Pelodiscus sinensis: one gene and its partners. The protein of the gene in region 1 interacts with the protein of each later gene in a pairwise test. Links are inferred from orthologs where the notes say so. Each region holds a gene or a part of one and is shown on either strand. Other genes may lie near its edges. The genes, in order: DISC1, PPM1E and MEMO1.

Region 1 (3,747 bases):
TGAAGTACTCAGTAGCAACCTTAATGTTATTTTAGCATATACTTTTCGGATGTAATATACGTGTGATGTGCAAAGCTGTGTTGTATATGAGTGTGTAATATATATATATATGTGTGTGTGTGTAGTGTTGTCAACTCTTACAATTTTATTTGTGAGTTGTGTTACCATTTGTTTTCCTTGAAGACGGAGAAGCTGGAATTTATGCTTAAATAAAAAAATCTCTAGTTGTGGAGAAAAGTTTGAAAATATGCTCCAAGTGCACACTAAAGACTCAAAACCCAGAAAGCCAATAAAACCATATGAGACATACACACAGGGCTCAAAAACATAAAGCCAATAAAACCGTCTCTCTCTCACACCCACAACACTTTTTCTTAAAAAAATCATATTGAATCAAATCTTATGCTTTTTGAACTCTTGAGGCTGCATGTGAGTGTATATATGTGTATATGTGTGGGTGTGTAGTGTACATGTGGTGTAAACATGCAATGCATGGGATTGTATATGTGGAGTAAGATATATTCCTATATGTAGATCGATGGTGTGTATGTGTCAGGTGTGGATGCATATGGAAATGAGGTGGTGTGGGGTGCACGTGCTGGTGTGGGGAATATCGGCGGTGTGTGTGCATCTCTATCTGTGGGCCGTGTAGCTGTGATGAGGCAGTGAGAGGCGGGGGGCCGGCGGCTCTGGGAGCCCGTGAGGGGAGAAGGGTTTGGCTGCGTGTGCAGGGGGCCGGGCTGGGGCGTGGCTCGCGGAGACCGTTTGTCGCGGCCGGTAGGGCCAGGCGGGGGCGCTGCGGGGCCGCCTCTGGGCCTGGGGCCGGCGGCGGCAGCGAGTCCGCGGCGGAGGATGTGGTGCGGCGCCAGCGGCGAGAGGCGGCCCGGGCGCGCAGGGCTGAGCCCAGGTGAGCGCAGCCGCGAGCTCGGGGCGCGTTACCGGCCGGTGCCCGCCCGAGGGGCGAGCGCAGCAGCCCGGCCTCGGCCCCGCGCCGCCTTGGGAGCCGTTAGCTCGGGGGTGCCAGGCGCGGAGCCGGGGCGGGGCGGCGGCAGGCAGGGGCCGTGGGGCTGCGCTTGCACCCGGCAGCCAGGGCCGCGCTGTGCTCGGCGCTGTGCAAGCGGGGAGCCCCAAGGGACCGGATCAGCCTGGGGGCGCCCAGCCCCACGCTGGTTAGCGAGCCTGGGTGAGTGGCTGGGCAGGGTAGGGTCGGGGTGACTCGAGGGGCGGGTTGGCCGCTGCTTTTCAGCAGTCATGGAGATCAGGACTTTTTTTTTTAAAACTTGGCGTTTGTCCCCCTGTTCTTGCCTTGGAGGGGAAGGGGGATGAGGAATGTTTGAGCAAAAGCAAGTGGGACAAATATCCAGATTTTCCAAAACAAGTTGTGATGTCTATAATCAGCTGGGCAGAGTGGCCACACCAGGTGGTTCTGGTCTGATGAGCTACCTGGAGTCACTACTTACCCAGCATCCCGTTTTCAGTTTAGAAAAATATGGTGACCTTAGTTCTGGGTCCTTCTGCCAGGGCTGGATAGTGTCCATGAGGCTTCCATCTGGGAGGGCTCCTCTTGCTCTAATGTTCTTTTCTTCTTGAGCAGACTAGAGAAGCACTATCAACACCCTCAAATCCCTGCCCCCCAAACAAAACAAAAAAACCCCACCCAACCTAATAGAAACCAGATTGGATATTTTAGCTCAGCTGCTCATGGTAGATGGCTTTGATTTTAAGGGAAATTGTCCTCTGCTTAAATATGAACTATCCAAATAATTTTAAAAATATAAATATTAAAATAAATTATGTTCATTATATTCTTCTTTGTACAGTACTTGTAATGGCTTTTCTGCTAATCTGCCTATGAATCTGTTGCATTTCTAAAACAAATTTATCCATGAACTGTTTGTTCTCCCGCTGAGTGTTCTAAATAAAGAATACCTGGTCTTTACCATGTGTGGATCTCAAAACATAATGGCTGTGTCTAGACTGGCATGATTTTGCGGAAATACTTTTAACGGAAAAGTTTTTCCGTTAAAAGTATTTCCGCAAAAGAGCGTCTAGATTGGCACGGATGCTTTTGCGCAAAAAGTGCTTTTGCGCAAAAGCATCCGTGCCCAGTATAGACACGCTTTTGTGCAAGAAAGCTCCGATGGCCATTTTAGCGCAAAAAATTAAGATGACTGTATACACTGGCCCGCGCAAGAGGGCTTATCCCTGAGCGGGAGCGTCAAAGTGTTTGCGCAAGAAGCACTGAATTCTTACATTAGAATGTCAGTACTCTTGCGCAAATTCTCGTGGCCAGTGTACACAGGCAGCAAGTTTTTGCCAGTCTAGACGCACCCAATGGATATTACTGTATTAAACAATTTAAGCCTCAGTATTCTTGTGGGTTATTATTCCCATTGTGTGGATGGATCTTTAGTTTGTTTCACTATGTTCTGTGTAATCAGCTGGTCAGTTTCTCTGTTTGTTTGTATGAAAGTTAAGGAGAGAGCAATATTTTTCAAAGCAGGAAAAGATGCCATTGTAAAACAACAACAAATTGACAAGAGACTTCATAAACAGCATGCCTGCATCTAGACTGGCAAGTTTTTCCGCAAAAGCAGCTGCTTTTGTGGAAAAACTTGCCAGCTGTCTACACTGACCGCTTGAATTTCCGCAAGAACACTGATGATCTCATGTAAGATTGTCAGTGTTCTTGCAGAAATACTATGCTGCTCCTGTTCGAGCAAAAGCCCTCTTGTGCAAATGCTTTTGCACAAGAGGGCCAGTGTAAACAACATGGTATTGTTTTGCGCAAAAAAGCCCCGATCGCAAAAATGGCCCATAGTTATAGTCCTAACAATCCCAGGAGATTAGAGTTGGATATGAGAATCTTTTATTGAACCAACTTTTGTTGGAGAGAGAGTTGGCTTTTGAGCCACACTGAGCTCCTCTTCAGGTCTTCACACCAAAAGCTTCTCTTTGTCACCAAGAGAAGGGACTGGTGTAAGGTCAGAAATTGCCCTTGAATAATTAATATGCTGGTGTCCCTTTAAACATGAAGTAGCTTCTTCCCCCTTTTTTCTCCTGCAGCCCTAGTTCAGCTGCTCCTTCCTCTCATGTTGTAGATGAAATAAAATATTCGTGGTCAGCCTGCTGTTGAGCCTGATGATGGCCTACCAACTTCCAGCTGTGTTTGCCCCGCCAGTTAGCTCTGTGATACTTGAGTACACCTGTGGGAGTGCATATTGGCAAGCCTAGCTGTCTCCTATGGGAATGCAGTGGTTATGATCTTTCACAGGCCCCAAAATGACATGAAATTTTAGTAGGGCACCACTGTATTTGTTTTTATTGCTTTTGTTCAACCAGAAAGCCTGACAGTTTTGAAATATTATTACAAAATATACAATACAGAACTTATTATGTGTGTGGAAAAGTTTCCAGCACTCTTGGAAAAAATATTTTGGCTCTGCAATTAGAGGCCTACATTTTAAGCACAGTGATGTCAGTAGTTAAAATCCACAAATAAGGCAAGCAAACTTAAACTGCAGTAGAGATGGTAGCTTTTCTTTTTAAAGCCTTGCCTACATTAAAAAGTTTGATAAGTTTAAGACAAATGTCTTTTGATTTAAAGTACTAAAAACAAATGATGATCCTATGGGAGCAAGTGTCAGATTTTTACAGGTTTCTCCTTAGTTTAGTTTATGGGAACATGGTAACTACAGAACTGGAAAAACTATAAAGAGCAAACAAAGGTCAGAAAGGGCAACAGTA
Region 2 (3,747 bases), on another chromosome or scaffold:
CTCCACCTCCATCAGAGTGCAGGGGTGGGGCAGGCAGATGCTGTGCTGGTGGGAAGCCTGCTTAAAGACAGCTCATGGGCAGCAAGGGGGGTGAACTGATAAACCCAGGCTATCCATCAGTTATTCATTTACTCAACTACCCACTAACATCCATACTCTGGATTGCATTTTGCTAGATTTACAACAATGTTGGTTTACTGTCTTGATCACCTAGAAGTGAAAGGCGAGTACAACACCCTCTGATTTCCTGGCATATCCACGTCGATGGCCCTATTAAACTGATCACATACTAGAGATGTGTGGTCTAGTTTCTCGTGAAGTTATAAACACACAAAGCAGTGGGATAAACGTGCTCGTCTCCGGGATGTTCGTAACACACCTACCAGTCAGACCGCTCTGATGGAAGGTTGCAACTGGGACACGCTTCATTCTCAGCACGCTCGCTCACCCCGGCACCCATAACACAGGGAGCGGAAAAAACAGGCTGCTCCCAAGAGCCCTCGGGCACAAGCCCCCCTTCGCCCCTTTGTTTTAAGCTGGTTCTTGTCAGGTGGCCTGCTGCTGGGCCCGCGCTGCGCGCACACAGCCCTGCGGCCAAGGCGAGGGACACCCTCTGAGCACTTACCCGCGTCTGCCTCGCGCCTCTCTGCCTGCAGCATGGGGGCCGGGGCGGGGGGGTGCTCGGGCAGCTTGTGCACGAACGAGCATCCGCCCCTCTCTCTGGTGATCTGTCAGGGAGTGTCCGTCGGTCCATCCCTCCGCCTGCGGCTCCGTCTCCCTCTTTTCGTGGGTGGGTGGGGGAGGGACAGAGCAGCTTCAGCCTCGCGCCAAGTCCGCGCGCTTTCATGCCTCGGCCCCTCCCCCTCCCCTGTGACGCGTAGTCTCTCAGCTCCCTGAGGGCCGGTGGGTTTTTTTTTTTTTTTTTTTTCCCGCGCGGCGCACGAGCCTCCACTCCCCCTCCTCCCCTCGCTCCCTGCGCCGCTCCCCGCTGCCCACCCTGCCCCCGCCGCGTGCGCGCCCCCGCGGGGCCGGCTCGGGAGAGCGCGCGCAGGGAGGGAGGTTGGCCGGCCGGTAGGCGGGTAGGGAGCTCTCTGCGGGCGCAGTGCTGATCCGCCGGCAGGCAAGCCGGGAATGCGAAGCGATGGCCGCCGGCGGCTTGGGCAGCAGCGCTGAGGAGAAGACCTACCGCCGCTTCCTGGAGCTCTTCCTGGGCGAGTTCCGCGGGCCCTTCGGGGCCGAGCCGGCCCCCGCGCCCCCCGCCGTCGGGGCAGAAGGGGAAGGGGCAGCGGCCACCCCCGGGGAGGCGGAGGAGAGCGACGCCGGGGACCCCCAGCCTCCCACCCCTCCGCCACCGCTGCCGCCGCTGCCCCGGCCGCTCTCCGAGCACATCATCGAGGAGGAGGTGGAGGGCGAGTGCCTGGACCTCTGCCTGCAGCAGCTCTACAAGTAGTGAGTGCCGGGCTGGGGGACCTCGGGGGCTCTGGAGGGGCAGGGCAGGGCGGGGCAGGGCTGACCGGGAGGGGGGAGGTAGGGCAGACCGATCTGGGGTGGGGGGCAGGGCAGACCAGGCTGAGGGGGGCACGACGGACCGGGCTGGGGAGCTCTGGGGAGGGGCAGGGCGGACTTGAAGGGGCAGGCGTGTGGGCTCTGGAAGAGGCAGTGGGACCAGGGAATAATGGCCATGGCTTGAAGGGGCAGAGGGAGCACTGAGTGGTTAGGGGCCACAAGGGAAGCGTGGGGGACAGGCCACTTTTGGTGTTGAGATGCCTAGGAGAGGTCAGCAGGGAGAGACCCATGGCCGTCTCTTCCTGTTTTATCCCCCCCCCCCATTCCTTTTGTCTCGTTCCCTCCATCGTGCTGGGACAGGGGAGCTAGTTGAAGCCCTGGGCATCCCTCTCTAGAGCAGCTTGGGTCATGTCTTACGTTCTGGTGCCAGAGCAGGAAGGATTCTGCCATTCTGCGTCTGAAACTGACTGTTCCCAGCAGGAGGTTTGTAAATGTGGAATCAACTGCCAAGAAGTTAGTTTCTAATGCAAGAAAAGAAAAAAAGAGGCAATATGAAGAGGCAACATAAGGAGAAGGCTCCCAGTGATGTTGGGGCTATTTGTCCTGTCAGAGAGAGAGAGAGAGGAAAACCATGTACATCGTGGTTTTTGCTGGGCAGGGGCAATTTCCAGATCTGTGCTTTGTAAAGGACTAGAACATAAAGGGAACACATAAGGGACATATTCCCAGTGTGGAAAGGTCTGCGGACTGGAATCTAAAGATCAGTTATTCGTCCTATGTATTGTGTTTGACTGTGTAGGTTTGAAATAGGCATGGTTGTTAATGGTGAGTCTTTCAAAAAGGACCTTGCAAAACTGATGCTATAGGAGGAGACAGATGAACCTGTGAAAATATGCACAGCAGGCTGGGGAGCTTTCTGACATTGAGCTGTTAATTGTAATGAAAGGTGTTACTCCATTGCGGGCACACACACTCACACAGAAAAGCAAGTTTTACAACTACATGATCTGCTTCTCTTAAATTCTGATCTGACTTCTGCATTTGTGGATGACAGGGACAGCAGAACATGGGCCTTCAAGGACAAAGCTTTTCCATTCACACGCCTTTTTAAATATCTTTTTAAAAGCCAGACTTGTGCATGGAGCAAAAGGAAAATAAATCTCAATAGGATGTGAGAAATGGGAACAGATTTATTTGCCTTTTGGTAGAAGTACATGGAGTATAACAAATTATTGTGGGTCCAATTCTGTAAACCTGCACTACACTTGAATTCTTCATTTAAGTCAGTGCTTGAAGAACTGGGCTCTATGGCACAATTTGTGTCTCTCTCTTTTCAGATTAAGCAGGCAAGAGCATAAAAAAAAAACAGTATGAAGGGATCTCTCTGTCATGGAGTGGTCTTCTGCTGCTTTTTCACCTTTGTGCATATCTATGGGTTTTTGAATTAATTGCTTTATAGATTTGGTTTTGTTCCTGGTGACGGCAACACAAAATCTCCTTATAGCTTCCTGTTTCATGAAGCAGAAGGCAGCATCTGCCTCAAAACCAAGGGAATACAGAGATTATGCTATTACAATAGTCCTCTGTCTGAGGAGGTGTTACGCAGAGTTTTAATTGTTAAGCCTCCCATTTTTGCAAATAGAATTTCTGTATTAGATTATGCAATCATAACCATAGACTTACACAACTAGGTGTTTTATACTCAACTATGTAAGCTAGCATTTAAAATAAAATGCAATTTCTGAAAGTCTTGAATGATTTTCAGATGTAGGTGGTACTTTTTTTAGTATCTTAGCAAAAAACCATAGATTCTTTTCAACAAACGAATGTATATAAAACAACAAATCAAAGTGGAATGATTTCCACTTGCAAGCTAAATGCTCAATTCTGCAGTTGCTTACAGAGTTGAGTAGCTATAGTGATTTTAGTAAAGTTACTTGCACAAATGATTAAACTGAACATGAAAATAAAAATGAAGTGGTATCTTTTACTACTGTCTCACTGGCAAGGAAGTAAATGTTGTCAAAGCATGTTTTCTGTGACTATAACTATATAGTAGTTAAATGACTGGCTTGCATAATGTGCAGTCAAGACCCACTACTGTGCAAAATTCAGCAGCTGTTTTTCAGTTATTTCAAGCATCAGGAAATATTTTGTTCTTTTGTTTTATTTTGAGAGGCTATGGATCAGAAATGAGATCATGCCTCCAGTGATGACAAAGTATAGCAATTTTCCTTATAA
Region 3 (3,747 bases), about 10 Mb from region 1:
TGGGAGGTGTTTTTGTGCAGCCCCAACTGATTTTTCTGTGGGTCAGCACCCCCTCCCCATCCCAAAAAGGGAAGGCTTCTGGGGTAAAAAGAGCACCCCGCACCCCCAAAAGGGAAGGCTTTTGTGGGTCAGCACCTCCCCCCCCCAGGCAAGGCCTCTGGGGTACAACGGTGACCGAAGAGGACCTCTGCTAGTGCCACTGCTAGGCCCTTGGGGCTGAAGCGGGGCGGGCTGCTGCCCCCGTGCAGGCGGGCAGGGGGGAGCGTTGCCGGGGCCGCACAGGGCCTCGCTTTCCGGCCTGCCTGGGCAACACAGGGCGAGCAGGGCCCCACAGGCCGGCCAAGTAGCTCTGGTTGGGGCGGGGCTTAGCCCGGCAGCTCCGCTCTCCCTCCCCCACCCACTTCTCCCGTGGTCTCGCTCCCCCAGGGTGCGCCCAGCTTCCCCACGCGCCCCTGCCCGCTAATCTGCCCTGCTGCCACCACAGAGACACCAGCCCGCCAATCAGCGAGGCCAGAAGCCATCACCACGGCAACCCTGCTGCTGTCCAATCCATACGGGTCCTGCCTGTGGTCTTTTACCTCCCTCCCCTCGTTCCGCTCCCCTCCAGCGGCGCGGTCCAATTGCAGGCCTGGTCGGTTCTGTAGGGCGGGGGGAAACGGGGAGAGAAAGGGCATCCAATCGTGGCCGGGCTTTTGCTTTCGTCACCCAATGGCGAGCCACTTGGCCCGCTTCTGGGCCCTCCCCTTTCCACGGGAGACGAGCAGGGCCAAACCCGGCTGCCGCGGCCTCCCCTCGCCCGAGAGCGCGGAGTAGCCGGCTCTTGCCTCGGGCTTTGTCCCAGGCTTCCCCCCTCCCGGGTTCGTGTCCGCGGCCGAGCCCGCGCCTACCCCTCGCAGCGCTTCCCCGTTCACCGCCCGGGTCCGCGGCGCCTCCGGCAGCACTGCCCGCCCCCCCTCGCGGGGGCTCGGGCTCTGCCGGGGGAGGAGGGGGGATTAGCGCTGCCGCCGCGGCCGGGCCCGTCTCCTGCCCCCTCCCCCCCGAACACCATAGGCGGCTCAGGCACCAAGATGTCCAACCGAGTGCTCTGCCGGGAGGCCAGCCACGCCGGCAGCTGGTACACAGCCTCAGGTAGCGGGGCCGGCCGGGCGCAGCCCCGGCCACCGGGGGGTGGAGGGGAGAAGGTGGGTGGCTGGGGCAGGGGGGCAGGGGGTTAGTGGGGCCGGGGAGCGCTGCAGGGTGCTACCGCCGCGGGCCGGAGCAGCTGCGGCCCCCGCGGGGATGTGCGGTGCGCGCCCGGCAGCTGCGGCCCTGGCCGGGAGGTCGGACTCGGAGGCCTTTTCCCAGCCCCGCGCCGGCTCTAGGGGCCCGGCTGAAGCCGGAGGCTGAGTCAGCGTTTTCCACCCCGGAGGGGCGGGTCGGCGTCGCGGCGACTCATCCTTGCGCCGGCCGTAGGGCCCCTTCCTTCCTCCCCGGGGTAGGGAGTTGCAGGCCCCGCCTCCGGTGCTGATATTGGGGCCTGTGCGGGGCACATGGCTGTAGCAGTGGCAGTTCCTTCCCAGGCTGCGGGCGCCCCCCTTCGTGCACACACCTCGGCCCCTGAGCCGGCGAGCCCGTAAGGCTGCACGTGCACTAAGTACCCTTATCCCAAATGAATGAGCTTTAAAACTGTGCAGCAAATCCCCGAGTGCGCCTGACGAGCAAGTTGTCTGGTAAAATAGGACTGGAATGATTCATTGTGCTGCCAGTGGCCTGGGCAATGTCGCCCCCAAAGCATTTAAGACAGTGCAGTGTGGTATGGCTAGGAAAGGGACATGCAAATTGACCCTATAGGAAAGTAGAAATTGCTATTCAAAATCAGACCAATGATCAGTATAGTTCAGAGCATATCTTCTGGTAGTGTTGGAGGATGCTGGGTACTTTACCAGTGTGAGAAACTGTATAGTGTTCAATTATGGACAATTATGGAATTACTAGCTGGTAAGAGGTTAGTCAAACAACTTTCTAATATGGAGATGTGTTATAACATGAAATAATGAAAGCCCTATTTAAACGTAGCTAAGGTATACTAAACGCATAGGTAAATGCTCAGGATGTAATGTGGTGCATGAATCTAAATGGACTAGGAGACTGTAGAACAGAAGAATATGCTGATGGCAAATCCTGTACTTGCTTGGGTGGCTGGATGACTTACTATATTTTCCTTTTCCTTTCTATCTGGGGAATGTTCTGTATTATCTGAAAATATTCTATTGAGTAATTCATCGAGTAATTCATTTAAAAAAGCCAAACAATATATTTGTTTGGCCCACAAAACTCTGCAGTTTTACTGGGGTAATGGCATAATGTAACCAAACATTTTCTCCTAGGTTGCTTTTGCGGAAAAACTTGCCAGCTGACTACACTGGCCGCTTGAATTTCCGCAAGAACACTGACTTCTTACTGTCTGAAATCAGTGCTTCTTGCAGAAATACTATACTGCTCCTGTTTGGGCAAAAGTCCTTTTGCGCAAAGCTTTTGCGCAAAAGGGCCAGTGTAGACAGCTGAGATTTGTTTTCTGCAAAAAAGCCCCGATCGCGGAAAAGCGTCCTTGTCAATCTAGATGCTCTTTTCCGCAAATGCTTTTAACGGAAAACCTCTTCCGTTAAAAGCATTTGGGGAAAATCATGCCAGTCTGGACATAGCCCTAATGTAGTAATAAAACTGGGTTACGTAGGTTGGGGATGCCTCTGCATCTCCTTCATATGAAACTTGGATATGCTTGCAAAGTGGAATATGTAAATGAATAGGCATAGCCTCTTGCTTCATAAAGTTGTTATCTTATACACATTATCTCACTGCTTAATTCTAATAGCTGATATGAAAACTCACAATGTAAGTGGATCATTAATTTTTTTTATAACTTGTGGCTTCTAAGTCCATTGTTTCTCTTCTCCCATCTCTTACTGAAAACCACTATTAAGATTGATAATGTAGAAACTCACTCTAAGCTATAGACTAGCTTTTATTTTTATGTTGATGCAATAATGCAAAACTTAAAATATTCTGATAAAATTTAATATTGTAAAAAGAGTAGTAATATTTTCTGCACATACACATCCTAATAACCCACAGTAAAGTTTGATGAAATAGATGTTCTATAGTAGCTAGAATCAGGGATCCTGTGGTACAAGCAAGGTACCATAGCAGAGTTTTGGCTGCATTAAAAAGAATCCTACAGGGTGAAAAACAGCATTTGTATTGCTGCTGTTTCTCCACCTAGCACGTTTTTAATAACATCGTGGGATAAGAGTAAAATGAAGCTCAACTGATCCTCCTGTATTTTTCCATTTCTTTCTGCTGGCCCTTTGGGAGAAATGGAGGGTGCAGATCCTGAGCTCATGGTGCAGGACTGATATGGTGAGAGACATTAATAATGTGTCTCTAATCCAATCTGTTATTGCACATTGCTTCTCATTGTTAGCAGTAAAGTGATAGACAGTGATCTGGTCAGTTTCATGCTGCTTCTGCTGGCACTTCAAAAATGTCTGCCTTCCCTGACAATCACCTGTTCTTTGCCATCACATATATGGCACAGAACAGGTGATTGTCAGGGAAGGCAGACAAGTTTGAACTGGACAAAAGGAAGCCTGATCTTGAGAACAAATTCTGACACATGCTTTTTGTAATGTTGAGGTCTTGGATAATTGAGGAGAGAAGACACAAAGATCAGGGAAATATAAGAGGAGGGAGCGATAGTGATATGAAATT

Evidence for each region.
Region 2: the proteins of DISC1 (region 1) and PPM1E interact in a two-hybrid assay, tested with the Homo sapiens proteins (2 studies listed by BioGRID and IntAct). The link is inferred for Pelodiscus sinensis from reciprocal best matches to the Homo sapiens genes DISC1 and PPM1E.
Region 3: the proteins of DISC1 (region 1) and MEMO1 interact in a two-hybrid assay, tested with the Homo sapiens proteins (2 studies listed by BioGRID and IntAct). The link is inferred for Pelodiscus sinensis from reciprocal best matches to the Homo sapiens genes DISC1 and MEMO1.

What each region holds. Positions count from the first base shown.
Region 1 is NC_134713.1:124,059,243-124,062,989, forward strand, and holds the start of DISC1 (disrupted in schizophrenia 1 protein), read left to right. Parts: upstream 1-767; 5' UTR 768-852; coding exon 853-907; intron 908-963; exon of another isoform or gene 964-1,183; intron 1,184-3,747. UniProt on the Homo sapiens protein: Involved in the regulation of multiple aspects of embryonic and adult neurogenesis. Required for neural progenitor proliferation in the ventrical/subventrical zone during embryonic brain development and in the adult dentate gyrus of the hippocampus.
Region 2 is NC_134731.1:5,128,495-5,132,241, forward strand, and holds the start of PPM1E (protein phosphatase 1E), read left to right. Parts: upstream 1-958; 5' UTR 959-1,141; coding exon 1,142-1,449; intron 1,450-3,747. UniProt on the Homo sapiens protein: Protein phosphatase that inactivates multifunctional CaM kinases such as CAMK4 and CAMK2. Dephosphorylates and inactivates PAK. May play a role in the inhibition of actin fiber stress breakdown and in morphological changes driven by TNK2/CDC42.
Region 3 is NC_134713.1:134,287,842-134,291,588, reverse strand, and holds the start of MEMO1 (protein MEMO1), read left to right. Parts: upstream 1-988; 5' UTR 989-1,067; coding exon of another isoform or gene 1,068-1,128; intron 1,129-3,747. UniProt on the Homo sapiens protein: May control cell migration by relaying extracellular chemotactic signals to the microtubule cytoskeleton. Mediator of ERBB2 signaling.